Tamandua tetradactyla: one gene and its partners. The protein of the gene in region 2 binds, or shares a complex with, the protein of the main gene of each other region. Links are inferred from orthologs where the notes say so. Each region holds a gene or a part of one and is shown on either strand. Other genes may lie near its edges.

Region 1 (7,803 bases), on a different chromosome or scaffold from region 2:
AATCTGAAGGCACTGTTGTAGAGAAACAAATGTGAAGATGAAAGTCTATGCCCTTATAAAGAGGCCCCCAGACTTCTCTACTTTTGTCTGCCTATCACCACTCATACAAGATAGCTTAGTATCCAAAACCCAAGAATCCAGCCTTTTCATAGCTACTACCCTAATTCAGAAACTCATCACTTTGCCATCAGATCACCCAATATTTATTATGCAATTTACTAAGCACAGTGCATTCTCAATTAATTTTCACAGTAATCTCAAAAGATAAGGATTACTGCTTTCTGTTTTACAGATAAGAACGAAAGGCTTAGAGATTAAGTAATTTATCTATGATCACAGAGTAAGAGATAAAACTAGGTCTAATGCCCATACTTTAAAAATTACCATATTCTATCCTCATCAATGAACTGCAGCAATTGATTTCCAGTTTCCATTCTCTCAGGATTTTTCCACCCAACGAATCACTTATATTACAATAATCATTCTAAAAGAACTACTCTTTTGATATCTTCCCAATTCATTATGGACTAATTGTCTCCTTAACACTCTCCCAGAATGGGGGGAGGAGGGTAAAGAGTAGGGGGAGTCACATCTTTTTGTATTCCAACAAAATACCAAACACTTAGTAGGTGCTAAATTTTTTCTATCAATATTAATTTCCTCACAAACATTTTAAATAACTCATCACTACCTACAGAATAAATCCAAATGCCTCTCTGTGCTTGTCATTCACACATTTCCTATTTCTAAACACAAATCCTATCCTACACAAACAACAATTATTAAAATTTAATATTTCCTCCCACATCCATCACCAACTGACTTATAAATGGAATACTGTTTTATCTACATGGAAACCTCATCTTCAAGTGTCTTAGTTACCCTGTTGTTCAAATATATAAATCACTGTCCTGATTTTTGAGGCCTTTCTTTCCTAAAAAGATCCATACAACAAATAACACAGAGATAAAATTAGTGGTCTGGCTGACAGTGAGGGAAGTTGGCCTAGATAAATTTAAGTCCAATTATAAGTCTAAAATCTGAATGATTTTATGATATAAGAACGACTAAAGTGATACAAAGCTGTTCAAGCTTTTGTCTCTTGTGTCTTCTAATCTATTTTGCAAAATGAAAAAATTGTTGTCATGAGTTGACAAGTATATCAGTAAGCTAGCTCTTCCAAAAGACATGATTAGTTCTCAGAGCAAATACTAATTTATTTATTTTCAACAAATTATTAAGAAATACAAATAAAATCGTCCCTAGCTTATATTCAAGTAAGAGACAGACTTTAATCATAGAAACAAACATATAATTACAAGTTCTGATAAATGATATGAAGGGCATGAAAAGAGATTATAACAGGGTATCTAATTTGAGATTTAGGGGCACAGGGTAAGGAGCATAAAGAGAAGGATTCTATGAGAAAGTACCACGTAAGCAGAAAACTGAAGAATGAATTTGAGGGGATGGAGAGTGGTGTTAGAACATTCCAGGTAAACAGAATAGCACATGCAAAGGCGCTGCGATGGGAAAGAACTTGGGGCAACTGAAAAGCAGCAGCAAGGCTGAAGCTTGGTGAGGGAAAGGAGAATGTTGCAAGATGCTGTTATATGCAGGCAAGAACCATGTTATGCAGAGTCACGAAAATTAAAACTTTTTTTCTAAATGTAATAAGCACTTAGTGATCAGAAAACATCATGCTGAATGGAAAAGTAATGTGATTTTGTTTGGGTTTGGAGAGGAGAGTGGAAAGGAGCAAGAATGGACAGGGCAACCAGAAAGCATACTGACACTGTTCAGCTTATAGCAATTACAATAACAATCAGCATTTACTGTGTGCGAAGTGCTTACCACAGTTATATCATTTAATCTCCATAACCATCCAATAAAGTGGGAACTCTTATTATTCCCGTGTTACAAATAAGAATACTGGGAACTGATTAAGCCCAGGTGAAACATTGTGGCTTGAATAAGAAAAGTGATAGTGAAGATGCAGACAGACAAGTTCAAAATATACATATACCACACACATACACATATACATACACACACACATATGTAAACATGTGAAAAGACAGAACTTGGAGAGGGAATAGATAAATGGGATGAGAGGGAAGCTATGAATGATTCAAGTTTCTAGCTAATGTTGCTGGATAAATGGATATGCCATTTAATGAAATGGGGAAATGGAGAAGAAAGAATTAAAAGTGAAGAGAAACCAAAATTTTCGATTTTACACATTATATCTGAAATTCCTAAGGAAAAAAAATCAAGTTGAGATGTTAAGCAGGAAGTTGGCTATTTAGATCTGGAGTGCACATGCACATGCACACGCACACGCACGCACACACACACACATATACACAAAAGGAATGGGCCGGAAATAAAAATCCTTCAGTGATCAATATAGAGACAGAATTTAAAGCTTAGGGAGGAAGATAAGAATAAAAGGACCTAAGACTGAACCCAAATATTCCATTTTACACATTAAACATCTCCTGCTAAGGTCATGGATTACCCCAGAGTGATATGAACAATGAATAAAAAAGTATTTGCAAACCCTTGTGGGAATGGCGAGAAAGGGGGAAAATTCAACTTTCCCATGTGGCGAATTCCTGATATTCTCAAAAGCAATGGGGACAACCAAAGTAATAGGCCATGCCTTCAATCTTCGGGTTTGTTCATATGAAACTAAACTCCACAAAAGATAAGCTTAAGCCTACTTAAAATTAGGCCTTAAGAGTCACCCCCAGAGAACCTCTTTTGTTACTCAAATGTGGCCTCTCTCAGCTCAGCCAAAACAACAAGCAAACTCACTGTCCTCTGCTCTCTATGTGGGACATGACTCCCAGGGGTATGGACCTTTCTGGCAATGTGGAACAGAAATCCTAGAATAAGCTGGGATCAGGATCAGGGGACTGAGAAAACCTTCGCTACCAAAAGGGGGAAGAGAGAAATAAGACAAAATAAAGAGTCAATGGCTGAGAGATTCCAAACAGAGTAGAGAGGTTATCTTGGAAGTTATTCTTATGCATTAAATAGATATTCCCTTTTTAGCTAAGGCATAACAGAGAGGCTGGAGGGAACTGCCTGAAAATGTAGAGCTGGGTTCCAGTAGCCATGTTTCTTGAAGATGATTGTATAACGATATAGCTTTTGCAGTGTGACTGTGCAATTGTGAAAACCTTGTGTCAGATGCTTCTTTTATCTACTTTACGGGCAGATGAGTAAAACATAGGGATAAAAAATAAATAAATAATGGGGGAATAAATGTTAAAATAAATTTAGTAGATTGAAATGCTAGTGATCAATGAAAGGGAGGGGTAAAGGGTATAGTATGTATGAATTTTTTTCTGTGTTCTTTTTATGAATCGATGCAAATGTTCTAAGAAATGATCATGATGAATACACAATGTGTGATGATATTGTAAGTTATTGATTATATATCAAGAAGGAAATGATCATACGGTAAGATTGTTCGTGTTTGTATGTTATGTTTAAAAAATAAGTTAATTAAAAAAAAAGAAATGAAAAGTTCAAAAAAAAGATCACAGATTACTTCCATGTCACAGGTTTTCCAGGCCTCAATTCAACACTATTGACTTATTTCATCTCTTCTCCAACACTCATCCTCCTATATCCAGTTATTAAATATTACCAATTTCTTAACGCTATGAGCTAAATCCCTTCCATTTCCATATTTTCTTTGGGCAACTGGATCCACATTCATAACTTCAATTACTACGAATATGGCAAATGACAAAAACACATATCATATATAAACATCATTACTGGAGATACATATTTCCAGTCTAGAACTCTGATGAGCTCCAACACTATATCCAACTGCCTCTTAGATTCCAGTTAGAGGCCCGTCATAAATTATCACCCAAAAAAGGCGTTTACAAGAGGTGAAATTTTGAAGAGAATACCACAAAACCACTGTTGGCCAATTCTCCAGAACATAGGACTCTGTGGTCGACTACCATTTCCTTCCACAGATCATGATCTAAAATAAAAATAGGTAACGTGACAACCTGATTTGATGGCTTTAGAGACAGGGACCAATAAAATGCAAGACAAAACTACAATTCATGATTTTTAGCGACTGATGGTTAAGAGGGGAAAGAAAGTGAAGACTGGCCCAGAGACTGAGTGAGTTTCACCTCCAAGACCTGATGGGATGTGCAGCAACGGAAGTCACCTGAAGAGATGGCAGGCCTTAAGGGGCAAGTGCCGGATGACGACAACCCCAGTGTAAGGGGGCCAGTTTCAGGTTGCGGAGGGTAAGACTGACAATAAATACCAGTACATAAGAAAGGGAAAGCCTGGAGGAAAGAGCCAAGTGGAGTACCTGTGACGCCTTGGGAGAGCGTCGAAGGGTTGGGGGCTGACTGAGAAAAGCGGGGCGAACTCCAGAAGAGAGAACGCCGAGTGGGCGGAACACGTAAGGGGGAGGGGGAAGGAAACGGCTCAGTTAAGAAGCTCGCCTGGGGCGCCTTACCTGTGCCTTCGGGTCCGGAGCCCCAGAACAGGCCGCCGGCAGCACAGAATCCGCGTGGAGGGGGAGGGGCGGGGGCAAGGAAAGAAGGGACACCAACACGGAGGAGTTAGGTCGCTCGCTCCCCCCTAGCCAGGGAAAGCAGCTGATGGCGGGAACTGTGACTGTACGCAAACACGCACGCACGCACGCACACTCGACGCGACTAGGCTTGGCGCGTGCGCGGAAGCTTGAAAGCTCCGCCCCTCGTACGTCCTCTCCCCCCTCCCCCCAACACCAAGAGATGCTGAGCCCAGGTAGTCCCGCCCCTGCCGTGACAGTAGTACGCATGAGCACTTTCTATTTCACCCGCTTTCGCCCTCCCAACCTTTCCCTCCTACTCAGTTCTAGTTGGGCATGCGCACTAATTGTCCTCCCGAGAGAGTCCGGTTTTTCCCGCCCTTCACGGGCCTCCGGAATAGGAATAGAGTTCACGCCTTTCTGGGGTTACCTACTAGATGTCGGAGGATGCAGGGAGTCGCAGGTCGTGGATGTCCTTTCCGCCTTGAGTCTTAAAGGGCAAAGAGCATAGTCTAGGATTAACTCCTCCAGAGGCCAGGAGGCGGGAAGAGGTTGTGTGGGCGGGTTCAGGGGTGAGAGGTCATAGGGCTGCGAAGGGGCGGAGCGAACAGTTGGCGGATGGCGGTTGCGGCAGCTCATCATCTTCGGTGGCAGCGGCGCTGAGACGGAGACGCGAGTCGGTCGCGTCTGGTGGTGGGAGGAGAGCGTCGGCGGCTCCCAACATGCACAGCCTGGCGACTGCTGCGGTGAGTGACTGTTTCGACTGACCTGGGCCCAGAGTCCCTCTTCAGCCCCACTTTTCGGCTTCCTTTCCTAGCTCTCTGTATCGGGCCTTCAGTCCAGCTCCTTCCGCCCTCCACCCGCGAGGCTCCGGTTCCCCTGCTCGAGGCGCCTTGGCTGTGGTAGGGCCGGCCCTCACCTTCCCAGCCGACTGGCTTTCCTGGTCTCTAGTGCCGGGCATCGCGTTCTTTTCCCGCCCCGGGGCCTGGTCCGGTTCCCGGAGCGCCTTCCTCGCGGCTGGGGCAAGCCGTTCATTGATTCACTGCGCTGACCGACAGTTTCAAGGCGCCAGTTGTGTTCGGGCGCCGGCAGGGATGAGGGCACTGCGATGGCAAACCTGATGCGGCCTGTCCTCTCGGAACTCACCGCCTAGGCACATCGCAGCGCGAAGGAAATGGTTTCTAGCTTAAACGACTTGTTTTACAGGTGGAAAATATGAGACATGGAAACGTGAATAATTATTGCATCTGACTTTTGGTTCTCTGCATTTAAAGCTTTTCTGACAGTGAGAAAGTTTCTCGTTCAAACACCGTAAAGTAGCCAGGCTTCACCATTCACCAGCGTGATAAACAAGAAATATGGATCATGTAGTTCACCTGTGTGAAGTACTACTCTGACTTCCCATTGCGCTTAGAGGAAATCCAGACTTCCTACCATGCCCTACAAGGCCCTGTATGATACAGTCCTTACCCACGTTTATAACTTCATGTCACTTTATAAGTAAGCTCCAGCTACACTGGCCACCGTTCTATCCCTTCTTCATGCGCTTTTCCACTCAACTGTGCACTTTCTGGTCTCTGTGCCTGGAATGCTTTTACCTGTTTCTCTCTCCCATGTACAGTGTGTGGGTATAACAGCCTCCTCATCCCTCAGATTTCACCTAAATATACCTACCAGTGGTCCTCCCTGACCACCCTATTCACAGTAATTTTGTATTCTGGAGCTTTATTAGATAGAATACTCTTCATGCACTGAACCCAATTTGTAATTATTGTATTCGTTTACTTTTTTTTTTTTTGTCTGTCTTCCCCTTGAGGACAGGGATTATAGAGTCCTGTGTTAGTTATTGCCCCCGTGCCAGGACAGCTCCTGGTACAAAGTAAGGATTCAAATATTTCATTGGTTGAAGGAATATTGATGAGGGAGATGACCACTGACAGCACATAGCCATAATGGGAAAAAGAGGGACCATTTGCTACATCCTTTTCCCCAAGATGAATGATTTAAGGAGATAGTAATGTACTGGAATTGCATTACCAAGCAAATGACATTGGGCACCCAAAATTGCCTTAGTTTTAAATTTGAGGGAAAAAAAGTGAGCTGAATATGGCTGGGTTGCAGAAAATATTGCTTTCTGAGATTTGATCTTTATGGTCTCATTGCCGTTTCCACAGGCAGACGTATCTGCCTCCCATTACCATGTTTCTAAGTGTTTATATCTATTCAAAGTAGAGAGGTAATTTTTATATCTCCCAAATTAGATGATTACGATTTTCCTACCCAGTCACAAGGTAAAGTTGCTGGTAGGGGAGAGGCAGTTTAAACTGAGGGAAATTCAAAGGTTGACTTATCCAGCTCTCAAAATCTGATTATATCTTCTCCAGGTTTTGTACTTCTGATATCAAGCCACTCTTCCCTGTGTCCCCTAAACTGTATACTGAATCAGGTTGCTAAAGCTGCCAGATGCAATGTACCAGAAATGGAAAGGCTTTTACGAAGGGAATTTACTTTGCTACAGATTTACAGTTCTGAGGCCAGAAAAATGTCTAAACTAAGGCACCCAGGAAAGGATACCTTGGTTCAAGAAAAGCTGATGTCATCACATGGAAAAGCATGTGACTGGCTTCTACTGGTCCTTGTTCCATTCCATTGCTTCCAGCTTCTGATGCCAATGGGTTTCCTCTCTAAGCATCTATGGGCCTTCGTTTAGCTCCTCTGGGACACAACTCTGGTCACCTCTAGCCCCTCGTGGGAAGGTACATGGTATGGCTGTTGGGTTCTGCCCATGTCTAGGCACCTGCTCTCTCTCGCTCTGTCAGAACTCCAAGCATCTCCAAATGAGCATTTCTCTTTCGGCTCTGAAGCAACTGTCCTCCAAGCATCTGCATATGAGATTTCTCAAAGATGTTTCCCCTATTAAAAGACTATATTAAACTAATAAGACCCATCTTGAATGGGTGGAGTCATGTCTTCATCTAATCCAAAGGTCACACCCACAAATGGGCACGTCACATCTCCGTGGAGATAAGCTAATCAAAAGTTTCTGCCCTGCAATTTTGAATTGAAATTAAAAGAAATGGCTGTGCCTTCCCGTGCCAAAAAAAAAGAGAAAAGAAATGGTTGCCCCCACAAGATTGGATCAGGATTAAAACATGTCTTTTCTGGGGTACATAATAGTTTCAAACTGACACAATACCTTTTCAATTCCTTTAATTTTCCGTTGTTTCCTAATGCATCTT
Region 2 (7,716 bases):
CCCATTGTTTATTTATTTTTAATCCATATGTTTTACTTGTCCATCAATAAGGTAGACAAAAGGAGCATCAGTCACAAGGCTCTCACAACCACACAATCACACTGTGACAGCCATATCATCATACAATTATCTTCATGAAACATGGCTACCAGAGCACAGCTCCACATTTTCAGGCAGTTCCCTCCAGCCTCTCCATTACATCCTTTTTGTTTTTAAATACCAAAAAGCACCAAACACAAACATTCTTAACTTTTGACCTTCCATTCTACATATATAATCAGTAATTCACAATATCATCACATAGTTGCATATTCATCATCATCATCATTTCTTGGAACATTTGCATCTATTCAGAAAAAGAAATGAAAAGAAAACAGAAAAAAATTCATATATGCCATACCTCTTAACCCTCCCTTTCATTGACCACTAGCATTTCAAACTAAATTTATTTTAACATTTGTTCCCCCTATTATTTATTTTCATTCCATATGTTCTACTTGTCTGTTGACAAGGTAGATAAAAGGAGCATCAGACACAAGGTTTTCACAATCACACAGTCACATTGTGAAAGCTGTATCATTATATAACCATCTTCAAGAAACATGGCTACTGGAACACAGCTCTACATTTTCAGGCAGCCTCTCTGTTACACCTTAACTAAACAGGTAATATCTATTTAATGTGTAAGAATAATCTCCAGGATAACCTCTCAACTCTGTTTGGAATTTCTCAGCCACTGACACTTTATTTTGTCTCATTTCACTCTTCCTCCTTTTGGTAGAGAAGATTTTCTCAATCCCTTGATGCTGAGTCTCAGCTCATTCTAGGGTTTCTGTCCCACGTTGCCAGGAAGGTCCACACCCCTGGGAGTCATGTTCCACATAGTGGGGGGGCAGTGAGTTTGCTTGCTGTGTCGGTCCAAGAGAGGCCAAATCTGAGCAACAAAAGAGGTTCTCCTGGGGGTGACTCTTAGGCCTAATTTTAAGTAGGCTTAGCCTATTCTTTGCAGGATTAAGTTTCATATGAACAAACCTCAAAATTGGAGGCTCGTCCTATTGCTTCGGCTGTCCCCACTGCCTGTGAGAATATCAAGAATTCTCCACTGGGGGAAGTTGAATTTTCCCCCTTTCTCACCATTCCCCCTAGGGAACTCAGCAAATACTTCCCTATTCACTGTTCGAATCGCTCTGGGATTTATCTGGGCATCAATCTGGACAAACCTACAAAATCTCATGCCCTACGCAAGGTTCCATGTAATATGGTGTTCAATTAAGCTGTCCACATAAGTTATATTAGGAAATGCGCGAGTCAAACTATAAATTTTGTACCAAAGAAACATTTTTTGGTTGTCTCACACATAGGTTAAAGTTTTCAAATATTAATTACCATCTATTTTCAACACCCTGCATTACTGACATTCCTTTGTTCTTCCTCATGCAGAAACATTTTTAAATTTGCACATTTAGTCACTATCATTATACACTCTAGGCATTCCTAGATTATACCACCTCAGTCTTTATTGTCTATCTTTCCTTCTGATTTTATTTGGCACCCAGAATTCTTGACACATACTTGATGGACTCTGATCTCCAGCCTATCGGGGGAATTCTGTAGGTCCTGTGACTGAATACACAGTGCACTTGTGGAGGGTGAAATCCCAAGAGTGGCTTTGTGCAGCTCTGGGAGAGGGGCTGGCTGTGGCTCAAGGGTCTGGAGCAGCCTAAATTTAAAATAGCAAATCATTTTCCTCTCAAGGATGGGCTGAAGTGGGGAAAGGCACCTCAACTTTATCTCAGCCGATCTTTATTTCAGGAGCTCTAGGTTTGAGACCTGAAAGAGTTGTAGAATTACACAGTTGATCTTAGTTGACCTCTATCAGTCTCAATTTCTACCTCTTTTAAATTACACAAATACAACATGAATACTTTCTTTTGTAAAAAGTTTAAATAATACAGTAATACACAGGATAAAAAGCAAACATTCCCTTTACCATTCCTCATTACCATTCCTTTCCCCAGGGATAAAGGGATATCCGTTGGGTAATGTAGCTTTCTAAACCTTTTAATATATTTAGTTCTATGTAAATACAGGAATATATAGTTATTTTCTTCCATACAAATGGTAACACTGATTTTATTACCATTCCCTTTCCCACCCAATCTTCACTTTTTAAATTTAACAAGAAATCTTGGTAATCATTCCATATCACTAGCTATAAGTTTACCTTTTTTTAATTAAAAAATGTTTTTTTAATTGTGAAAAATAACATATATCAAAAAACCCATAAATTTCAAAGCACAGTGCACACATTAGTAACAGAACAGATTTCAGAGTTTGGTATGTGCTCTAGTTTGCTAGCTGCCGGAATGCAATATACCAGAAATGGAATGGCTTTTAACAAGGGGAATTTAATAAGTTGCTAGTTTACAGTTCTAAGGCCGAGTGAATGTCCCAGTTAAAGCAAGTCTGTAGAAATGTTCCATCAAAGGCATCCAGGGAAAGATACCTTGGTTCAAGAAGGCTGATGAAATTCAGGGTCTCTCTCTCTCAAGTGAGAAGGCACATGGTGAACACAGTGAGGATTTCTCTCTCATCTGGAAGGGCACATGGCCAACACAGCATCACCTGCTAGCTTCTTCTCCTGGCTTCCTGTCTCATAATGCTCCCCAGGAGGCATTTTCCTTCTTCATCTCCAAAGGTCGCTGGCTGGTGGACTCTGCTTCTCGTGGCTATGTTGTTCTGCTTTGATCGCTCTGAATCTCTTTCATTCTCCAAAGTGTTTCCTCTTTTGTAGGACTTCACAAACTAATCAAGACCCACCCAAATGAGTGGAGACATGCCTCTATCTAATCCAGTTTAACCACCATTCTTGATTAAATCACACCCCCAGGGGATGATCTAATCGCAGTTTCAAACATACAGTACTGAATAGAAATTAGAAGAAACGGCTACTGTTACAAAATGGGATTAGGATTAAAACATGGCTTTTCTAGGGTACAGACATCATTTCAAACCAGCACAGTATGGGTTACAATTCCACAATTCTAGGTGTTTCCTTCTGGCTGCTCCAAGATGCTGGAGACTAAAAGAAATATCAATATAATGATTCAGCAATCATATTCATTTGTTAAATCCTATCTTGGACTCTGTTATAACTTCATCTTCTCCTTTGATCTTTCTCCCAATATTTAGGGGTACTTGGGCTATGTCCATTCTAATTTTTTCATGTTGGAAAGGGCTGTCAATAATATGGTATAGGGGAATGGAACTAGTCGATGCACTGGAGAGGCTGGCCACTCTGAATTTCAGGACTTATCCAGCCTAGGAACCTTCTGGAGGTTGTAGGTTTCTGGAAAGTAATCACAGTGCATGGAACCTTTGTAGAATCTCAGATAAATCCCTAGGTATTCTTAAGGGTTGGCAGAAATGGTTTTGATTGGAGTTTGGCAAACCATGATAAACAGCAATATCTAGTTGAAGCTTGGCCTCCAGAGTAGCCTTCTGCCTCTATCTGAACTCTCTCAGCCACTGATACCTTATTTGTTACAATTCTTTTCCCCCTTTTGGTCAGCAAGGCATTGTCGATCCCATAGTGCTAGGGTTAGACTTATTCCTGGGAGTCATATCCCACGTTGCCAGGGAGACTTTCACCCCTGGATGTCATATCCCACATAGTGGGGAGGGTAACAATTTCACTTGCAGAGTTGGGCTTAGAAAGAGAGAGGCCACATCTGAGCAACAAAAGGGATCCTCTGGAAGTAACTCTTAGGTATAACTAACTATAGGTAGGCTAACCTTCTCTGCTGTATAAATCAGCTTCACAAGAGCAAGGCTCAAGCTCAAGGGCTTGGTCTGTTGACTTGGGACAGTTTGGGACAGTATCAGTGTTTTCCTTGGTGGTAAAGTTTAATAGTTCCATATTTTCTCTCCAATCCCTCAAGGGACTTTCCCAGTACTTTTTAAATATACGCTCAATATACTCTGGGATGTATCTGGGCATTATATTAAGCTATACAGAATTACAGGCCTTCATTCCCATTCTGAGGTTCCTGTGTTTGGGTTGTTTAAGTGATCTATCCAGACTGGTTGAGTTAGATTATGTGCTACAGAAAACTTAGGTTCTGGACAAAATAAAACTAATTTTTTTGGTCTCAAAGAGTATAGCTGTACCTTTCTTTTTAACAACTTCATTGTGTTCCAGTACATGGCAGTACAATACATTTATTTACCATTCCCCTATTGTTTTCAATCTTTCTGCTCTTTATAAATAATTCTTCAATCATCTTTGTGCACACGAATAAAACTGGGGAATAAATCCCTAGACATGGGATCAATTACTGGGTCAGCGGGTCTGTGCATTTTTAGGTTTGATAAACTGGGCCAAAATACTATCTATACAGATTTTGTCAATTTTTATCACCAGTAGAAAAAGAACTGTCCCTTTGACTTTTTTCCCCAGTGTAAAAGGATAGAAGTGACCTTTTTGATAGCGGTTCTAGGGCTTAAATCAGGAAGAGAACTTTAGCTTCCTAATTCTCCATAAGGCGTCCCTAAATCTAGGTGAAAGAAGTTCCCTTGACTGAAGCGGGACAACCTATGACCAGGTGAAGGTCCTGGAAGACTACATTCCCCAGTATGCACTGCTTCTCCCCAGGCGCTGCCAGTGACGAAAGTGGACGCGTTAGATTTGCGTCAGGAACGGGGGGCGGAGGAAACTACACATCCCAGGGCGCACAGCGCCACCACACTAGTCCTAACCTGGCTTGCTTCCCGGTTGTTGGCGGTCCTCGCCTTACTCCACAAGGCGAGGAAAGGGACAGGATCGGAGGAGGATGTTTAGGCTTGAAAGTCCTGTAGTCGACCGGACTGTGACACTACGAAAAAGGAAGGAAAGTGGAGGAATGCTGTCTAATGCCGAACTCAAAATTGTTACCGCGTAGAGTGGCGAGGGGCTGTGGACCACCTTTCCTTACTTATTGTTTCTCGGAAGCAATGCCAAGGTCCCATTGGTCGAAGACCTCGAGGGCAGGTGGGACGTCCGTGGACCCTGAAATCGAAGTTATTTGTATCTCTCCATTGGTCCTCGCTTCGCGCGCAGGCGCGAGAACGCTAACTCCAGTCCCTGGGGACTGGTGAGCGGCAATTGGTCAAAACCCGAGAAGTAGGAGTCCGGATTGGTAGTTGCTAGCAGGAGCTTGGTTTCTTCCTTGACTTCTGCAAGTGATGGGGCTTGATTGGTTTAAATCCGCGGGCACCTGTCGGTGATTGGGCGGGCACTATGGGCTGGGTATGATCATTGGCTGGTGGTCGGGCCATCCCTCCACGGGCGGGCAACGAATGGTGAAATGGGAACGGGGAGGGGAAAGGCCGCGACGTGAGCGCGCGACCTCCGGCGCCATTTTGTAGAGAAACAAGCGGAGTTAACCGAAGAGGGGTCGAGGAAAGCCGGAGTCGGGGGACCCAGGAGTTTCCTGTGTCCAGCGCCGCCGGAGCTGCCTAAGGTGAGGTGGGTTTGGGTCAGGGGCCGCCATAGGCGGGCCATGTCAGCTACGGAACGCGAGAGCTTGGGTGAACGCACAGGGGGTGGTCCTAGGGCCATTGGAAGCGTTTCCCAGAGCTTCGAGGAGCGAGGGGCAGCCGGGACGGGAAACTGGCCAGGCGAGGGAGGGCGGGCTCTCTCCACCGCTCGCGGCACCTTCAGGTAGTGAAAAGAAGCGGCCGTCCCGAAAGCTCTGGCAACCGGATGGCAGAGCGCGGGCTGCGACCCGGAGTGGTCCCCCGGCCCGGGCCTGGAGGTTCTGAGGGCGGCGGTGGCGGCAACTGTTCGGTCGGCCTGGGCCGCGCTTTGCTCGAGCTGCATCCATCTCGGACTCCACCAGCCTTCCGCAACTGCTTCTTCCTCTCCAGGCTCTCAGATGGGTGTAGTGGGCATTGGCCCCCGAGGCCTAACTCCATGGGCAGGGGGGACAGTGTTTGGAGTTGTTACTGACTCCCAGTTCTTGTCCAAGTACCGGGTGCTGCCGGTCTTCCCCTAGCCCCCAGCACGTTGTCAAATCCCCATGTTTCGGGTGTCTGTAGGTGGGAGGGGCGAGCGGGAGGGAGCGAGCACTTCCTTATTACTTCTGGTCACAGGTTTACTTCCACTCGCGCGCCCGTGCGGTCAGACTTTGTCCGACGTCGACCCCCCACCTACCCGCCCGGTGTCTCCCTTAGCAGCGGTCTTCATCCATGGGGAGTCCCCCCTAGTGAGCTGAACACTTGCAGGCCTCAGTGCTGGTGAGACAGTTGCTTTAGATCTTGCAGGGGTCACTTAAGGCCGAACACACTGGAAATATCCTTTTCCAGTGCTCAAACAGATGTGACCCCCACGAGGCGTAAGCTTTGTTGGTTGAAACACGCACGCAACTGGTTGATAATGTGTGTTTGAAAATGTGTTTAAAGTAAACTTTATTAACAGAGAAGTAAATTATTGCCCCTGAAGTCACTCGGTCAGATGTCACATTTCTTAGGACTTTAATTCAAGTCTGTTTTCTTCCTGAACATTCTGTACCAATATTTTATTTCCCTGCCTATTTCCTTACAATTCAATTGTCTGTGACGACTTGGGGATTTCTTTAACAGTCGTAATTGAGTGAGTTTGAGTATTTGTTTTTGAAAGAGATTCTGAACGTCTCGTTCAGACGTTCGATAGGGATAGTGATACATGGATAAAAAAATGATGAGAAAGGCAGTAAAAATTCTGAAAGTATGTCAAACAGATTAAGAACAAATTTGTTTTTGTTAAGTATTTAGGTTGGAAAGTGATTTGTGTGAGGTTCCTTCTCTTCCAAAGATAGGCAGTCCTGCATTTTAGATATTAATAAGGTGTATGGTAACAGTTTAAATAGTCTTGTTTTAGGACTCTGCAAATTGTTACCTTGTCTAAGGGAAAAATGAATTGATGATACTTTGAAATGGTGGCATGTGGATAAAACTTGTTCGGAAAGTTGGAAAATTTGTCCCATTTCAACAAGAGAGGGTCACAAGTCATTTAGTGGAAATTCAAGTCTAGAATCAAGGCACAAAGACTTGACCATTACATTATGAACTGAAAATATTTGCCTTTCTTATCTAAGTCTGTGATCTTAGAAGTTTTTAAGGCAAGGTTTTGTGACATTGTGTAACAGAAGTGAAATACTCTTCCTTGGTTTCTAAGGCAGTTGGATGGATGCCTGGTTTAGTGTTTTTTTTCTTTCTGGTCTCTAAATTTCTACTGGAGGTTTAAATCCTGGTCTCCCTAACCTGTACTGTGACATCCTCTTGCCTTTGCGTTAAGTTGTTAAAAACAAAACTCTCTTCAAAAAGTGCTTTAAAGACTAATGTCTGGTGAATGCATAATTCTATGATTATACTAAGAGCCATTGCTTGTACACTTTGGGTGGATTGTATGGTGTGTAAATAAAATTGTTAAAAAAGAAAGACTTCTTAAAATTTCCTTATATGTTGCTTTTCCAAGTGTGCTGTTTTTGGTTAAATTCTGTTTCAGTTACAAGAAGCTTTTTTGTTAATGAGCTTAAATTTATGAACTTGATTCTTTATTTAAATCATTCTATGAGGTAAAAAATCTTTGGCACCCATTGCCACCACAGAAGGGAATGGGTCCACAGTAATTCTAATTGAATGTATTTTAAGATGGTGATTTTTTTTGTACAGTATTTATGTTTCTTGAATTAACAA
Region 3 (6,474 bases), on a different chromosome or scaffold from region 2:
GAAAGCCCCTGGCGCTGATGGTTACTACTGCTTTCAGCTGGGAGACTTTAGCCCAAGGCAGTATGGACAAGAGACACAGCAACTGTTCTCAATTCTCTGTATTTCCTTCCAGCCCTGGTCCGTACACTCGCGAAATTCTGACATGTTCATCACCTCCATCTGGCCAGAGTACTATTTCCTAACTCTTTTTGATAGAATTACTGAACTGTGTTTTCCCATACTGCTACATGTTTCAATTAGAACAGATCCAGATGCAAGTAAAAGAACGCCCAACTCACATGGCCTGGAACAACCAAGATGTAATTCTCATGAAACAAGTCTCGGGTCATTAATAAAAATGTCGTCAAAGCTGTTTGGGGTTTTTTCCCTCTTTTTTTTTTGATCGTCTATCACCAATGTACCAGCTTCTGGTCCATAAGACTTGGCACCCCAGGGCTCAGGGCTCCTGCAGCTCCAGAACCTGCTCAGGGAGGAAGAAGATGGAAATACGGATTCTCTCCCCCACCCCTTTTTTGTTTTTTAAAGAAGGGAGTCAACTCCCTCCCAGATTCTTCCTAACAGTTACGTTTCAACAGCCACATTGGGTCACCAGCCCTCTCCTAACCCAATGGAGACTAAAGGGCAATGGGATGCCCCAGCCTGGCTTAGCCCTGTCCTCATGTATCCTCCGAGGCTGAGGCAGGGTCTCAGCCAGCACAAAAGGGAACAAAATAAACAAGAAGGAGAGAGCAGCTGCTGGTTGGCAACTCTGATCATTAATTTGATGTCAACAAGGCTGGGTCTTGGAACCCAGTTCTTTAATCAAATACTAATCTAGACATTGCTGGGATGGTAGTTTGTAGACATGGTTATCTTTAAGTAAAGGATATTTTAAGTAAAGGAGATCACCCTTGAAAACAGGGTGGGCAGTGGGGGCTCAGACTTGCCTCCTACAATCAGCTGAAGACCTTAAGAGACAAACAGGTTTCTCAGAGAAAAGGAAACTGCCTCAAGTCTGCGGTATCAAGAGCGAACCCTGCTGTACGCCATGGGCTATAGTTAAGAGAACATGCATAAAAATGTCACACCCACTGTCACAAATGTACCACATTAATACAAGGTGTGAATAACAGGGTGGTATATAGGAACTCTGTATTTTGTGCATGATTTTTCTGTAAACCTACAACTTCTTTAATAAAAAATAAACTGCAGTATTAAATCTTCCCTGGTTTCCAGCCTTCCCTACAGACACTGGACTTAGCAGTCCCCACGACCGTGGGTCACCTCTTTAAATCATCATACACATGCAAACACACATCCATCCAATTGGTTCTCTTTCTCCGAAGAAGCCTGCCTGACACAGCAACCAGATGTGCTGCCACTTTGCACAATGTGCCACCTTGACTGATCAGAGGAAGAAACTGAGGCCCAGAAAGGCAAAGTTCTTCATCCAAGACCACAGGTGACTTTGGAGAAGCACTAGGACACAAACCCAGGCCACCTGTCCAAGTTACCCTACTCCCCCACCTGGCTTCTCGACTGGGGAAGACTTGAAGTGTCCCCAATAGGCAAGAGCCCCATTCCGCTACAGAAAAATGCAAGCCCTCTGCAGAAGAGCGCCTCCCGCGTGCCATGCCTGACTCCCAGCCCCAGGCCCAGAGAGCCAAAGCACTTCCTGCCCTTACAAAGGCTGGGCAGGCGGGTCTGCGGGAACCCAGAGCGGGACAAACCACATCTCTGTAGCTGCCTGGACACATGCCAAGCTGCCTCATTCCCCAGGACTGACCTCATGTTTCTGAAGAGCCTCAAGACGCCTGAGGTCTGTGTTGCCTCTCATGGTTCAGTTCTGCTGCCAACAAAGGAAACAGCCCAGGCGGGGGATTGGAAGCCGCACAGAGAGGTGGGAACGCAGGGTTCCATCAGCCCTCCCCACCATTACCCAGGCCCTGCCGGAGCCCACTGCCAGTGCCAGCCAGGCCCCACTCCAGGAGACACTGAACAACACCTCCGACTTCTGATTTGAGACCTACCACAATCTGTCTTCCCAGCCTCTGCGAGTTTGAGAATGCCCCCTTGGAGAAACGTTCACACTTTGGTTATTTCCATCTGTTTCATTCCAGACTCCTGGAAAGTGAACAAAAGGCACTCAGACTTCATCTAAGGTGCTAAGAACATCTCTGAAGTCAGTTCTACCACCTCAAAGAGAGCTGGAATGCTCACAGTTGGGCTGAGGCTTCTGCTTGGGGACAAAAGTAACTTTATTTAGCCCTGAAGCTGAACCAGAGGTCCACTGTGGCCCTCCAATGCTCACACACAACAAAGGCTCCTGGTGTTGCCAAGGCCCAGCACATACCCCCAAACCAAAGGCTTTGTCCACTTTGCCTCCATTTGCAGACATTCCTTCCATTTCCTGGTGGGCAAGGTGAGCAACCTAGGAAAACAGTACGTGGCCATGCCCAGTTCCCTTTGATTCTCCCAGGGTTTCTCCGGACAACTGATGTTCCCCGAGCCCAGGCCACAGCTTCAAATCAAGGCATTTGTTCTAACTCATGTTTCACTTAAAAGTTTTTATTCCCTTTGTGAAACCACAAGGGCTGCAAGCCACGTTGTGGAGGAAAGCAGGCCTCAGCTTATTTGCCATCCTCTCTTTGGCCTGGCCGAGTGAGCAGACACAGCAGCTGGCAATGTTAAACTCTCTTTGTAGTTTTTCTTCGGATTGGTGACTTCCCCTTTTTAGAGTTTACCTTGAAAGTATGCAGGCCCCAGGGCTGCCTGGACAGAGTGGAATTTTCCATTTATAGACTAATAGTCTTTATACCACAGTGTAGGCTGGAGTTCTCATGGTGAGCTGGGAGTTCGGTGTCAGCAAACTTGCCAGGCTTTCTGCAGGAGCCCCACGGCATCGGGCTTTTATTTATTTTTGGTGGGAGAGAGGGAGGAAATAAAGGAATGGCTTTTTAACTTGAGTGCCAACACAAACTTGAAAAAGGAACTGGGTTGGCCGGGGCAGAACATCATGCCCGCTTTCAGGAATTAGGGGGTAGGAGGTGAGAAAGAGACAAAAACACACCTTCTACTCCTAACACAGACAGGCAGCCAGAACAGGCATCCCTTTATTGCCCTAAATCCCTTCCTGTCCACCCAGCCCCTGGATTGCTCCCAGAGGGCCAGAGCCCAAGCCAGGGGCATGCAGGCCCATCCCATTTGTCCTCGTCCTTCCCAGCTTCCCCTGTCTTCTGCATTTGGTTCCTGCCGAAGCATGTGCAAACTTATAGTCTGAAATACCTCGGGGTCTGTGGTATGGTAGGAAGAGTGAGGCCAAGAGTTCTGGGGCCTGGGTCCCAGTCCTAGCTGTCACATATTCACTGTCGCCTTAAATTGGAAGTCACTTCTTGTCTCTGGCTCTCATTTTCCCCATCTTATAAAGTAAAAACTGATGCTAAATGATCCCAAGGATTCTGTCCTCTGCTGGCATTGATTCATTCATGCAAATATTAACGGGCCACTCTTCTCCAAGGCAGGCACTAGGTTCTGGGACCCCCTGGGAGCTGTTCCACACCTCCTGGGCAGAGTCATACCCTCGAGCCTGCCTCCTCCTTTCAGTACCGCAGCACGTCCTGCGTGGGGAGGAAAGCCCGGCCAGGCCGTCCGCCCAGTCTCCAGCAGAGGCATTGCCGGGTCCCAAAGAACCCTAGAGGAGCTTTCCTGTACCTAAAACCATTCTCACTTTTCATTTAAAAAATAACGTTGCCTCCAGCCCAGGGAGGGGAGCGACCACCTCTCCCCCCCCCCCCCCTCCAATCAAAACCCTCTCTAAACCTTTAGTTTCCATTGTTTTCACCAAAAAAAGTTTCATTCATTTCGAAGTATTACATTATGACGTCAATAATATGTCTTCCAAATTGCACCAACACCACATTTCCCACAGCCCCCTGGGAATGTGGGTTGAAACACACGCGCGCACACCAATCGCTGCCCTGGGCCCTGGGGCTGTAGGTTTCCTAGCTGACGGCCAGCCGGTCTGAAAACCTACTGGAAGTCTGCTGCGCGGGGTGGGAACGTCCCGCGTCCCTCCACTGCTTACTCTACCTGCTACAGCAAGAACCGTAACCGCTCAGAGCCTGAGAGATTCATGTGCGGGTTTCACCCTGGGTGAATGCGCTCCGAGGCACTGTGCAAGCCGAAGTTACTAGTTCGTCGGGCGGCTGGGCGGTGAGAACTGCATCCTTAGATCGCACCCTGTCCTGCCTCCCTACTGCTTTCCCTACTGACGCCGGTGCTTCAGTGCACTAAGTGGGGGTTGCGTGAGCCCTGGGGCATCCCCCCCCATCGCCACCCCATCCCGGTCCTTGGCGAGCCTCACCACCAGGCGGAGGAAGACCCAGGCCTGGGCACCTGTTCCAAGCCCCGGGCACATCACTCAGGCGCAGGCGGGTCGCGGCAGCCGCCCCACCCTTCGCCTTCTTGCAGCTTTTTCCCTTCCCTCCCAGCAGCGGGGACAGTGCACGCCCCCTCCCAGGCTTCACCAATCAACGTCCGGAGCGGCGCCCGTGGCGCAGGGGTGCTCAGCTCAGTAGCCAATTAGCGCCGGGGCCCGAGGCGGCGCCTCGCCCGCCCTCTCCTACAAGGAAAGCCGCCCCGCAGCTGGCAGAGCTGGCGCAGCGCGTGGAGCGCGGGAGCCGCGCGGACACAGCAGAGCGCGCACCCGCCCCCGCTCCGCCTGCGTCCAGGGCGCGGGCGAGGTGGCACGGGCGCTGGAAACGCAGGGGGCAGGGCCGCGGTGGCGGCGAGCCCGGGGGGCGGGGAAGACCCGGACCCGATAAAAGGCGGCGCGCGGCCCCACCCCGCGGCAGGCCGGCAGCAGGCTCGGCGCGTCTCTTCCGTCCGGCCCGCGCCGGTGGCGGGGAGGCGGTTCGCGCGGCTCGCAGCCCGCCCATGGAGGCTTTCCCCTGGGCGCCCCATTCGCCCCGCCGCGGCCGCGCCCCCGCCCCCGCCCCCCAGTCCATGGCGCTTGTCCCCAGCGCCCGCTACGTGGGTGCTGCGGGCCCAGCGCATCCGCAGCCCTTCAGCTCGTGGAACGACTACCTGGGGCTCGCGACGCTCATCACCAAGGCGGTGGACGGCGCTCGCGGAGGTGCCTCTCCACCCTCCTCCCCCTCCTCGTCTTGCTGCTCTCCTCACGCTGGGGCTGGGCCCGAGGCCCTGGGACCGACGCTGGGGGCACCCGATTACGACGACGACGACGACAGCGACGAGCCGGGGCCCCGGAGTCGCTACCCGGGGGGCGCGTTGGAGTTGCGGGCACTGGAGCTGTGCGCGGGCCCTGCCGAGGCCGGGCTGCTGGAGGAGCGCTTCGCCGAGCTGAGCCCGTTCGCGGGCCGCGCCGCCGCGGTGCTGCTGGGCTGCGCGCCTGCCGCCGCTGTCACCGAGACGGCGCCGCCGCGCGATGAGCGAGCCCCCGCGTGGGCGGTGGAGCCCAGGCTGCACGCAGCCTCAGGGGCAGCCGCTGCCCGGCTGCTCAAGCCCGAGCTGCAGGTGTGCGTGTTCTGCCGAAACAACAAGGAGGCGGTGGCGCTCTACACCACCCACATCCTGAAGGGACCCGACGGGCGAGTGCTATGCCCCGTGCTGCGCCGCTACACGTGCCCCCTGTGCGGTGCCAGCGGCGACAACGCGCATACCATCAAGTACTGCCCGCTCTCCAAAGTGCCGCCGCCGGCCGCGCGCCCCCCGCCTCGCAGCGCCAGGGACGGCCTGCCAGGCAAGAAGCTGCGCTGAGAACCTAGCTGCAGCCCGTTGGCTCTAGACGCCACCAGGGTCACCCCCTACCCAATCTCCTACTTTTGGTCAGCGTGCCCTCTCTCCCTCGTAGTTGGGGAGCGTGAAACTCAACAGTTGGCGCAACTTGAGGTGTCGTCGTAGCGGTTTTTTTTCGATAGTTGACCGTGTGTGGAGTACTTTACTGGAAGAACAATTGAGACTAGATGCTTAATTCTTGACTTTGTGTATCTTCACAGTTTCTAATTTGGGCTCACCCAGAATGCCGAAGGCTGGATATATGGCAGTGTCGAGGCGCCGTTTATTTACAGTATACGTCGACCTATTTTAGATGCACATCAGTATGAAATTCTCAATCTAATCTTGGATGTTTCGCTTTATGAATAGAGGCACTTTATTAGGTCTAGAATATTTTTTTAAAAGCCTCTGAGCTTAAAACTGGCGATTTTATGACGTGTTAGCAGAGTGACTATTTTATTGTTTGAAGCAAGTAATACTTAGTTGTCCTTAATCAGTTATTTTAATTCCAAGGTGAAGCAAGCCCCTCCTAGTAGCATCACCGTTATAACGAGTGAAGGTTTAGTAAACTTTCCAGTATTCGTTTGGGTGGATATTCCCTCCTTGTGGCTTGTTTCCGTGCTAGCTGGAGGTGTAAAATGCAGTCGGTAGAGAAGTAGCAGGTAGAATGCAACTCCTTATCCATTTCTGTATCAGATC
Region 4 (7,291 bases), about 28 Mb from region 2:
CATGGTAAAGTAAAACATAGTACATCAAAAAGAAGTTTAAAGGAGAGAAATAGAACAGAGAAGTGAGATCAGAAGTGGAAATTTGTAACAGCAAAAATGTTGGTACTTGGGAATAAATCTAGCAAGAAATAACGAGACTTGGATATGGAAAACTGCCTACTGAAAAAGTTTGAGATGAGGTTGGGTATCTATTATCATGGTCTATAAATAGATGCCACATATATTTTCTTGGTATTATGTTTTAAATAGATAAGGACATTTTAAATATTTTTTTAAAATCCTCGATGGAGGTCAAGAAAAGCTTCTGTAAGGTGATGTCAGAACAAAGATTTGAAAAAGAAGAGAAAATAAGTCGTGAACATCAGACAAGAGCATTGGGGGGGAGCGGGGGAAATTAAGTGCTAAGGCCTGGAGGCAGGAAAGTAGGGATGTGCTGGTATGTTTATGGAACATTGAATCGTGGACTTCAGTGAGGGGACTGGAAAAGGAGAGGAGAGAAAGTCAAGGCAGATCACAGAGGCCTTTGGTGAGGACTTGGTGCTTACTAAGCCATTGGACTCGGAGACTGTTGCAGCTTGATGAGAAACCATGCACTCTGAGGAGGGAGTGTACATCAGATGTATAACCACACTGCAGGAAAGAACAGACAGTAGGGATACCCAAGGCCCCCCACTCCTCCGCAGAAGACAACCATGTGACTGGGCCACAGAGGAACTGCATCCAATGCTCCCAGGGACCCTGACCCAGTGGCATTCCCACAAACAAACTCTCCAGTGGAACAACCCAAACGCATAAACACACAAATAACCCTCTAACCACCACTTAACCCGCTATCTCTCGCCCCATCTCAACTTTGCCCATCATGGCATGACTCAGTCCTGCCCTCAGAACAACACTATCAAATGCAGAGTCATAGGGGACAGATAAGGCCAAGCACAGATCTGGCCTCTGGCTTCTCAGGTGTGGGTGTGATATCTGCTCTGCCCACAGAGGCGGACAGGAACAGGAGTATAGAGGGGGGCATGACCAGCCATCCTCCCAGTCACGCATGTTGTGGACGTCAGGAAACAAAGTTCATCAGTTTCACACTGCCTTGTGACTGGGCCACAGAGGAACTGCATCCAGAATGCAGACGCTGTGCTACCATGTTATGCATGCACAATCACAGACACCTATAGAGAAGGGAACAGATGCAAGCGGCCACTATTCACACACCTGATTATCACACACACTGAGCTATGGGGGCTTGCTCACACAGATACTTAGACATTGAATTTCAAAGTTGTTTTTATTCAGACCTTCAGTCATACCCTCACACAGCCCAGATCCCCAAATGGCGTACACACACAGTTGTACACATAGTTATACAAGGTTCAGGGCACCCTCAAATGCACGAGAGGGCACATACAGTCATACTCTCATCCAGGCACCTTCAAGGAGTTACACACACAATCACTTCAGACTCCAGAGTGGTACAGAGCTACACAGATGTGATGGTTAAAAAAACACATGGCCTAGTCAATCACACAGACACAGGCAGTTTTACACATCCATTCACACACAGTCATGTCATGCAGGACTGGATACATGCAGCCCTCACACATAAAACTAGACAGTCATGTTGCACACCTACTTCCCCAACTGTATACCCAAACACACCAGAACTCTCACCCAGTCATGCCAGGGAACACACCCTGCACCTGCAGTGCACCCACTACTCACACAACTTCCTACATGTTCACAGGTTGTCCCACACCTGCCCACGCAATCGCACACAGCCAGCCCCACCCTCGGTCACACCCGGCTCCCACGCAGTCACGCCAGGCACACGCACGGGCCAGACACAAGCGCTGCAAGTACACAGCCCCCAGCACGCTTGCCCCAGCTCTCACACCCCCGCGTTTCCCGTCCCCGCTTGTTTTTCTGGAAACTGCTCTCCGCTCCCCACCCCCTAGCCGGAAGTGCTCGCAGTATTTTTAGCCTCTCTGGTTTCCGCCCTTTGCCCCCTCCCCCTCTCACCCAGGACCTGTCGCTACCCCACCCCCGCACCCTGGCGGGGGACCCCGGCCATCCCCTTCCCCAACATCATTCCTGAGGGGATTCCCGGCCGCTGCTAGGGCCGCGGATTTTCCCGCTGGCTACGTGGGGAGCCGGGAGGAGTCCTCCCTTGAACTTCCTCCCGGGCCCGGACGCCCCAGGCCGTAGGGGCGGGGGTTGGGGTGGGGGATGGGAGCCCATCCTCTAGGTCTGCGGGAGGAGGGAATTGAGGACTTGAAATTTTCGGTCTGACAGAGGGGTCTGGGGGTCCTCTTAGACTAGGGTCCGATAGAAGTCTGGGAGTTCGGATTCTCGGGTCTGAGTGAGGAGGTGGCTTGAGGACCCGGACCCCTGGATTTGAGCCAGGAGGGACTGAGGGCCGGACTCCTGGGGCCTGCACTTCAGTGTTTTGGGCGGTCGGTCCAAGTCCGGACCAGGGGCCCCCTCCAACCTCTTCATGCGTGGCCATATCCCGGGCGTCCTGGCCTTCAGGCCGATGACTCAGCAGGTGGGGGAGGGGTGGGGGGGGTCAACCTGACTCAGGGGTGGGAAATGCGCCCTGTCTCCCGGGAATCGAAACTGGAATCCTTCCTCCAGGATCGCAGCCAGAGCCGATCCGGGCTCCGGGGACGCCAGGACCCACTTTTCCCGCATTAGCCCTGCCAGCGGCAGCGGGATTTGGAGCCGGGCCTGAAAGCGAGTCCCAGGCACCCCCGTCCCCCCCTTTCCCGGCGTCCTAGACGCTCTGTTTACAGGGTACAAGATCCCTGGTTACAGGAGCAGAACCCCGGCGTCCGGGCCGGGCCTCCCCGTCACGGCTTCCAGGAAGCCCCCTCTCCCCCGCCCCCTGCTAGTGAGTCACCGACGAGCGGGAGGCCGCAACCGTGCCAGGGCCGCCTGTGGCCGCCCAGCTCACGAGACCGGCCCGGGAAGGCCCCGCGGCCCCGCGCAGAAAGCGCCGCTCAGGGATTCCCCCGCTGCTCGCGGGAGGAGAGTCTGCGTGGAGCCTGGCCGCATGTCTCCCACCTTGCCACACGCCTGCACCCGCAGCTTGCAAGACTGAACTTTCCATCATTACAGGTGGTGCTCGGTGACAAGGATTTCATCCCCCATATTTTCGCTCAGAGCAGTCGTATCCCCAAAAACCCTTTAAAGGTTTTCTTCCCAAATCTTAAGATTGGGTTTTCACTCAGGCACGCACAGAACAGTCCCAACCAACCCTCAGTTGGGGAATGACCCATTTCTTCCAACTCCACCAAAATGAAAGATCTTACCCTTTCCAGCCTTAAGCGTTTTCTCAAGAGGGCAAATTTCTTCACATAATTTAAGGCCCTAGTATGAGGCACTGCTATTTACTAGCTAGGGAACTAGGTGAGTAATTGAACTTCTCTAGGCCCAGTTTCCTCATGTGTAAACCGGCATAATACCTCTCGAGTGGCGATAATGATTGAGTATGTAAAGCGCTTTGGACAGTGCCCAGTCCAAAGGCAGGCATCCAAAAAGGCCACTGTCGGCTTAAGGCGAGGGGTTACAGGGACCCTGAGAACTGGGAAAGGAGGCCCTGGCCAGCCAGCCGCACCAGGTATCCTGGGCCCACCCCACAGCCGGGGGTCGAGAGGGCCGTCCCGGACTTCGGATCTCGGCCACTTGGGTTTCTTCTCCAGACCTGTTTTGATCCTCCATGTTTCTGTCCCTCTGTGGGTGTCTGTTCCTCTGTTTGTTTCCCCCCCCCCCCCTTTTTCTTTGACCCTTCCGTCCCGCTTCTGGCTCTGAATTTGTGAATTTGTCAGTCTGAGATTGTCTCTGTCACCTGTCCTCTTTACCCAGTCTCTCCCTCTCTAGGTATGCCTCTTCCTGTGTGTCCCTCCTTCTGTGTCTCCCCGTAACTCTGTCTCTTTCCCTCTCCGTGTGTCTCCCGGCCCGTGTCTGTCCGTCCTTTCTCTCGCGCGCGGCCTCCCGGCCTCTGCCCATGCCTCCGCCTCCACGCCCCCCACCCGGCCTTCCCCGCGCCTCAAACCCCAGCCCTGAAACCTGGACAGACAATCCCCATGGCCCGCGACTGCGCGTTCAGACGCGCGTGGTAGCTGGGGGCCGGGGGGAAGGGGACCGGTCCAGGGTCGGCCGGGGAGCGCGGGGGGTGCTAGTCCGGGAAGCGCCCCTGTGGTTCCGCCCCCACAGCCCCGCCCTGCGCCCCGCCCCCGCTGGCCCCGCCCCCATTTCTTTAAGAAGCCGGCTCTCGGGCCGGGCTGCAGCCTGCGACTCCAGCGCTGCCAATTCCGGCCGACTCCGCAGCCGACAGGCCGCCCGCGCCGCCATGGATCTCGCCGCCATCTACGAGGTGAGCCCCGGCTAGCCGGCACCCCCGGGTTCCGCACGCTCGGTTCGCTGGCGCCGCAAACTTCGAGTCTCTGGCCGCCCTCTCAAACTGGGGCTTCTTAGCGCCGCACAACCCGGCCCGGGGCCCCCGCCTCTCTCTTTACACCAGTGTGATTCTCTGGAGGCGAAAACGGAACCCACGACTCCGGGTCTCGGTCCAAACAAGGGTGGCGATGGAACGTTGGGAGACTTTTGTCAGGCTAGGGCTGTCTAGGGGCGGAAGTGACTCCCACACCTGGCGTACACCTAGTAGTTGCTGAGGGTGCGGTTTGCGGGGAGGCATTGCAAGGGCTGAAGTCTCGGAGGGTGGGGGGAAGCGGCTTATGTTCCCTCACTCCCTGACCCGTCAGAGAACTCCCAAATCAAAGAGATCCGGGCTCCGGAGTTAACTTTGCCCAAATATTCCAGTTGTGAAACTGAAGAACCCGGATGCGTGGGCCAGATCGGGGGGCAGTGGTGTGCCCCAACTTTGGAACCCCATCTCTATCCAGCCGGGCTCTAGCCTGGATCGGAGAGTCGGGACCCCTAAGTTCCTCGGGTAGGCTTCAGCCATGGCTAAACATTAAACCTCCAAATCGGTTTCCCTGATTTGGTTATGGAACTGAAGGGTTTCTGCTGGTCGATCGTGCTCAGGCCGGGAGCCCACAAACCGGGCTGGCAAGCTCTTGAAATGCCCTGCGGCGGGGCCAGGGCGTCACCCTACATTTTCGGTGTCTTAACCCCCTCCTCCCCTTTCCGGGCAGAGCATCCTGTCGCTGAGCCCTGACCTGACATCTACCCGCGGAGGCACGGAGTCCAGCCTGGGCTGGGCCACTTCAGGACCCTGGAGCCTGAGCTCATCGGATTCTAGCCCAGCCGAGGTCGCCCCTCGCCTGCCCAGCCGCTCCACCAGCCTGGTGGAGGGCCGCGCTTTCAGCTGGGTGCCCCCACCCCCAGGCTTTGCACCTTTGGCTCCCCGCCCAGGCCCTGAACTGTCGCCTTCACCCACCTCACCTACTGCAACCCCGGCCACTTCGTCCCGCTACAAGACTGAGCTGTGTCGGACCTTCTCTGAGAGCGGGCGCTGCCGATATGGGGCTAAGTGCCAGTTTGCCCATGGCCTGGGTGAGCTGCGCCAGGCCAGTCGCCACCCCAAGTACAAGACGGAACTCTGCCACAAGTTCTACCTCCAGGGCCGCTGCCCCTATGGTTCCCGCTGCCACTTCATCCACAACCCCAATGAGGACCTGGCCACCCCTGGCCAGCCGCACATGCTACGCCAGAGCATCAGCTTCTCAGGCCTGCCTTCTGGCCGCAGGGCCTCACCACCACCAACAGGCCTGCCGGGCCCATCTCTGTCCTCATGCTCCTTCTCGCCTTCCAGTTCCCCGCCACCACCCCCTGGGGACCTTCCCCTCTCACCCTCTGCCTTCTCTGCCGCCCCTGGGACCCCCATGCCCCGGAAGGACCCCACCCCAGCCTGTTGCCCCTCCTGCCGGAGGGCCACTCCCAGCAACAGCCTCTGGGGGCCCTTGGGTGGCCTGGCTCGGAGCCCCTCTGCACACTCCCTGGGCTCGGACCCTGATGAATATGCCAGCAGCGGTAGCAGCCTGGGGGGCTCTGACTCACCTGTCTTCGAGGCAGGGGTTTTTGGACCACCCCAACCACCTGCGGTCCCCCGCCGACTCCCCATCTTCAATCGCATCTCTGTTTCTGAGTGACAAATGTTTTCCGAGTACAGATCAGCTGGATCTTAAAGGGGGGCCATCTCCTCCATACTGTGGGCTCCACATGGGCCCAGGGGCTGTGGGGACCTGGGGGGCCCTTAATTTAATCAAGCAGCCCTCCTCCCACCTTCCAAAATGCATTAACCCACTTCCCTGACCCCACACTAGGGCAGGTCCCCAGTGTGCAAGCTCTGACAGTGTTCCTGGTGTTGGGGGTGGAGGGTTTTTTTGGGGTCCTTTAAAACAAGATGTAGCAAACCTTTTCCCTGCCCACATCTCGCCTCCTGGAATCATGTGCTGTGACTAATAGACCCCCACTACCCACTCCCAATTTTTCCTAGACTCTGAGGTTCCAGCAGCTGGTGATGACTGGAGCCTCCCCTGAGGGGGAATCCTGGTGCTCAAATTTCCCTCCAAAAGCAAGTAGCCAGAGCTGTTGCCAAACCCACCCACCCCCAAGCCAATGGGCCCTTTATTTATGACGACTTTATTTATTCTAATAGATTTTATAGTATTTATATATATTGGGTCGTCTGCTTCCCATGTATTTTTTCTTCTTTTTCTAATATTGGAAACGATGGAATAATTATTGTTATAAAAATGCTATATTAAGTAATATATATATATATTGTTACCTAAAAAGTCTATTTTTGTGCCTTTTGGAATTTTTAAATAAAAGGAATGGGCGTGTAAACTGGAACCCTGGCTTTTCCGCCGTCTAAACTGGTTTAAGAGAAGTGGGAAGGACAGTGTAACCCTTTTTTGAAGCGGGGTAGAGTCAACTGATAGCTCCAAACCTTCCCGGAGCTGAGAGCCCCGAGGCGCTTACCTGGCAGGAAATGATGTCACCGGGCTCGGCCGCTCACCTGAGAGGGCGGGGCCAGGTGAGATCACACGGGTAGAACCCGGAAAGCCTGTTCCCTGGGCGTGGGCTGGCGCTACCGGCCTGTCAGGCTCTCGACCCAACTTGCGGGAGGGGACGGGATGTTTCAGTCCCCGGGGACCGAGGGGTGAAGGAGGGGCGGAGTGGGGAGGACGGAATGTACCGGAGCGCGAGCCCAGGGCGGGGGCGGGCGAGCGCAGTGGGGGTTACGGGGCCATCCCGGAAACGCGGGGCCCGGGCGTCCCGGGGTCTCGCGACAGCGGGGAGTTTCTGGATTTGAGGATCTGGG

What was found.
Region 1: the proteins of CNOT1 (region 2) and CNOT9 are in contact, whole or in part, in a crystal structure (PDB 4CRU), measured with the Homo sapiens proteins. The link is inferred for Tamandua tetradactyla from reciprocal best matches to the Homo sapiens genes CNOT1 and CNOT9. Residues at the interface, in NP_057368.3 of Homo sapiens: Ile1415, Ala1416, Thr1418, Thr1419, Gln1422, Ile1423, Lys1426, Asp1427, Phe1428, Met1444, Asn1447, Leu1448, Gly1451, Met1452, Met1454, Ile1455, Arg1458, Glu1459, Tyr1548, Gln1549, Arg1552, Met1553, Pro1554, Gln1556, Ile1557, Leu1559, Val1564, Lys1567, Gln1568, Leu1569; in NP_005435.1 of Homo sapiens: Arg19, Glu20, Tyr23, Ile26, Asn27, Ser30, Ser31, Pro32, Arg35, Pro54, Met55, Trp57, His58, Ser59, Phe60, Gly61, Ile63, Ala64, Ala65, Leu67, Gln68, Val71, Asn72, Tyr74, Pro75, Ser76, Ile77, Asn78, Pro79, Thr81.
Region 3: the proteins of CNOT1 (region 2) and NANOS1 are in contact, whole or in part, in a crystal structure (PDB 4CQO), measured with the Homo sapiens proteins. The link is inferred for Tamandua tetradactyla from reciprocal best matches to the Homo sapiens genes CNOT1 and NANOS1. Residues at the interface, in NP_057368.3 of Homo sapiens: Ile2327, Ile2330, Lys2331, Trp2338, Glu2350, Phe2353, Gln2354, Val2356, Ala2357, Met2361; in NP_955631.1 of Homo sapiens: Phe40, Ser41, Ser42, Trp43, Tyr46, Leu47, Leu49, Thr51.
Region 4: the proteins of CNOT1 (region 2) and ZFP36 are in contact, whole or in part, in a crystal structure (PDB 4J8S), measured with the Homo sapiens proteins. The link is inferred for Tamandua tetradactyla from reciprocal best matches to the Homo sapiens genes CNOT1 and ZFP36. Residues at the interface, in NP_057368.3 of Homo sapiens: Gln821, Glu835, Asp845, Ala848, Asn849, Phe852, Gln853, Tyr856, Asn894, Glu897, Glu898, Phe901, Gln904, Tyr905, Pro906, Glu909; in NP_003398.3 of Homo sapiens: Arg314, Arg315, Leu316, Pro317, Ile318, Phe319, Arg321, Ile322, Ser323, Val324, Ser325.

Annotation. Positions count from the first base shown.
Region 1 is NC_135329.1:194,077,622-194,085,424, forward strand, and holds the start of CNOT9 (CCR4-NOT transcription complex subunit 9), read left to right. Parts: upstream 1-4,786; 5' UTR 4,787-5,286; coding exon 5,287-5,310; exon of another isoform or gene 5,311-5,505; intron 5,506-7,803. UniProt on the Homo sapiens protein: Component of the CCR4-NOT complex which is one of the major cellular mRNA deadenylases and is linked to various cellular processes including bulk mRNA degradation, miRNA-mediated repression, translational repression during translational initiation and general transcription regulation.
Region 2 is NC_135342.1:52,306,460-52,314,175, reverse strand, and holds the start of CNOT1 (CCR4-NOT transcription complex subunit 1), read left to right. Parts: upstream 1-4,716; 5' UTR 4,717-5,029; exon of another isoform or gene 5,030-5,139; intron 5,140-5,406; exon of another isoform or gene 5,407-5,501; intron 5,502-7,716.
Region 3 is NC_135339.1:81,420,152-81,426,625, forward strand, and holds NANOS1 (nanos homolog 1), read left to right. Parts: upstream 1-4,914; coding exon 4,915-5,757; 3' UTR 5,758-5,971; downstream 5,972-6,474. UniProt on the Homo sapiens protein: May act as a translational repressor which regulates translation of specific mRNAs by forming a complex with PUM2 that associates with the 3'-UTR of mRNA targets. Capable of interfering with the proadhesive and anti-invasive functions of E-cadherin.
Region 4 is NC_135342.1:24,566,743-24,574,033, reverse strand, and holds ZFP36 (mRNA decay activator protein ZFP36), read left to right. Parts: upstream 1-4,271; 5' UTR 4,272-4,351; coding exon 4,352-4,375; intron 4,376-5,156; coding exon 5,157-6,113; 3' UTR 6,114-6,813; downstream 6,814-7,291. UniProt on the Homo sapiens protein: Zinc-finger RNA-binding protein that destabilizes several cytoplasmic AU-rich element (ARE)-containing mRNA transcripts by promoting their poly(A) tail removal or deadenylation, and hence provide a mechanism for attenuating protein synthesis.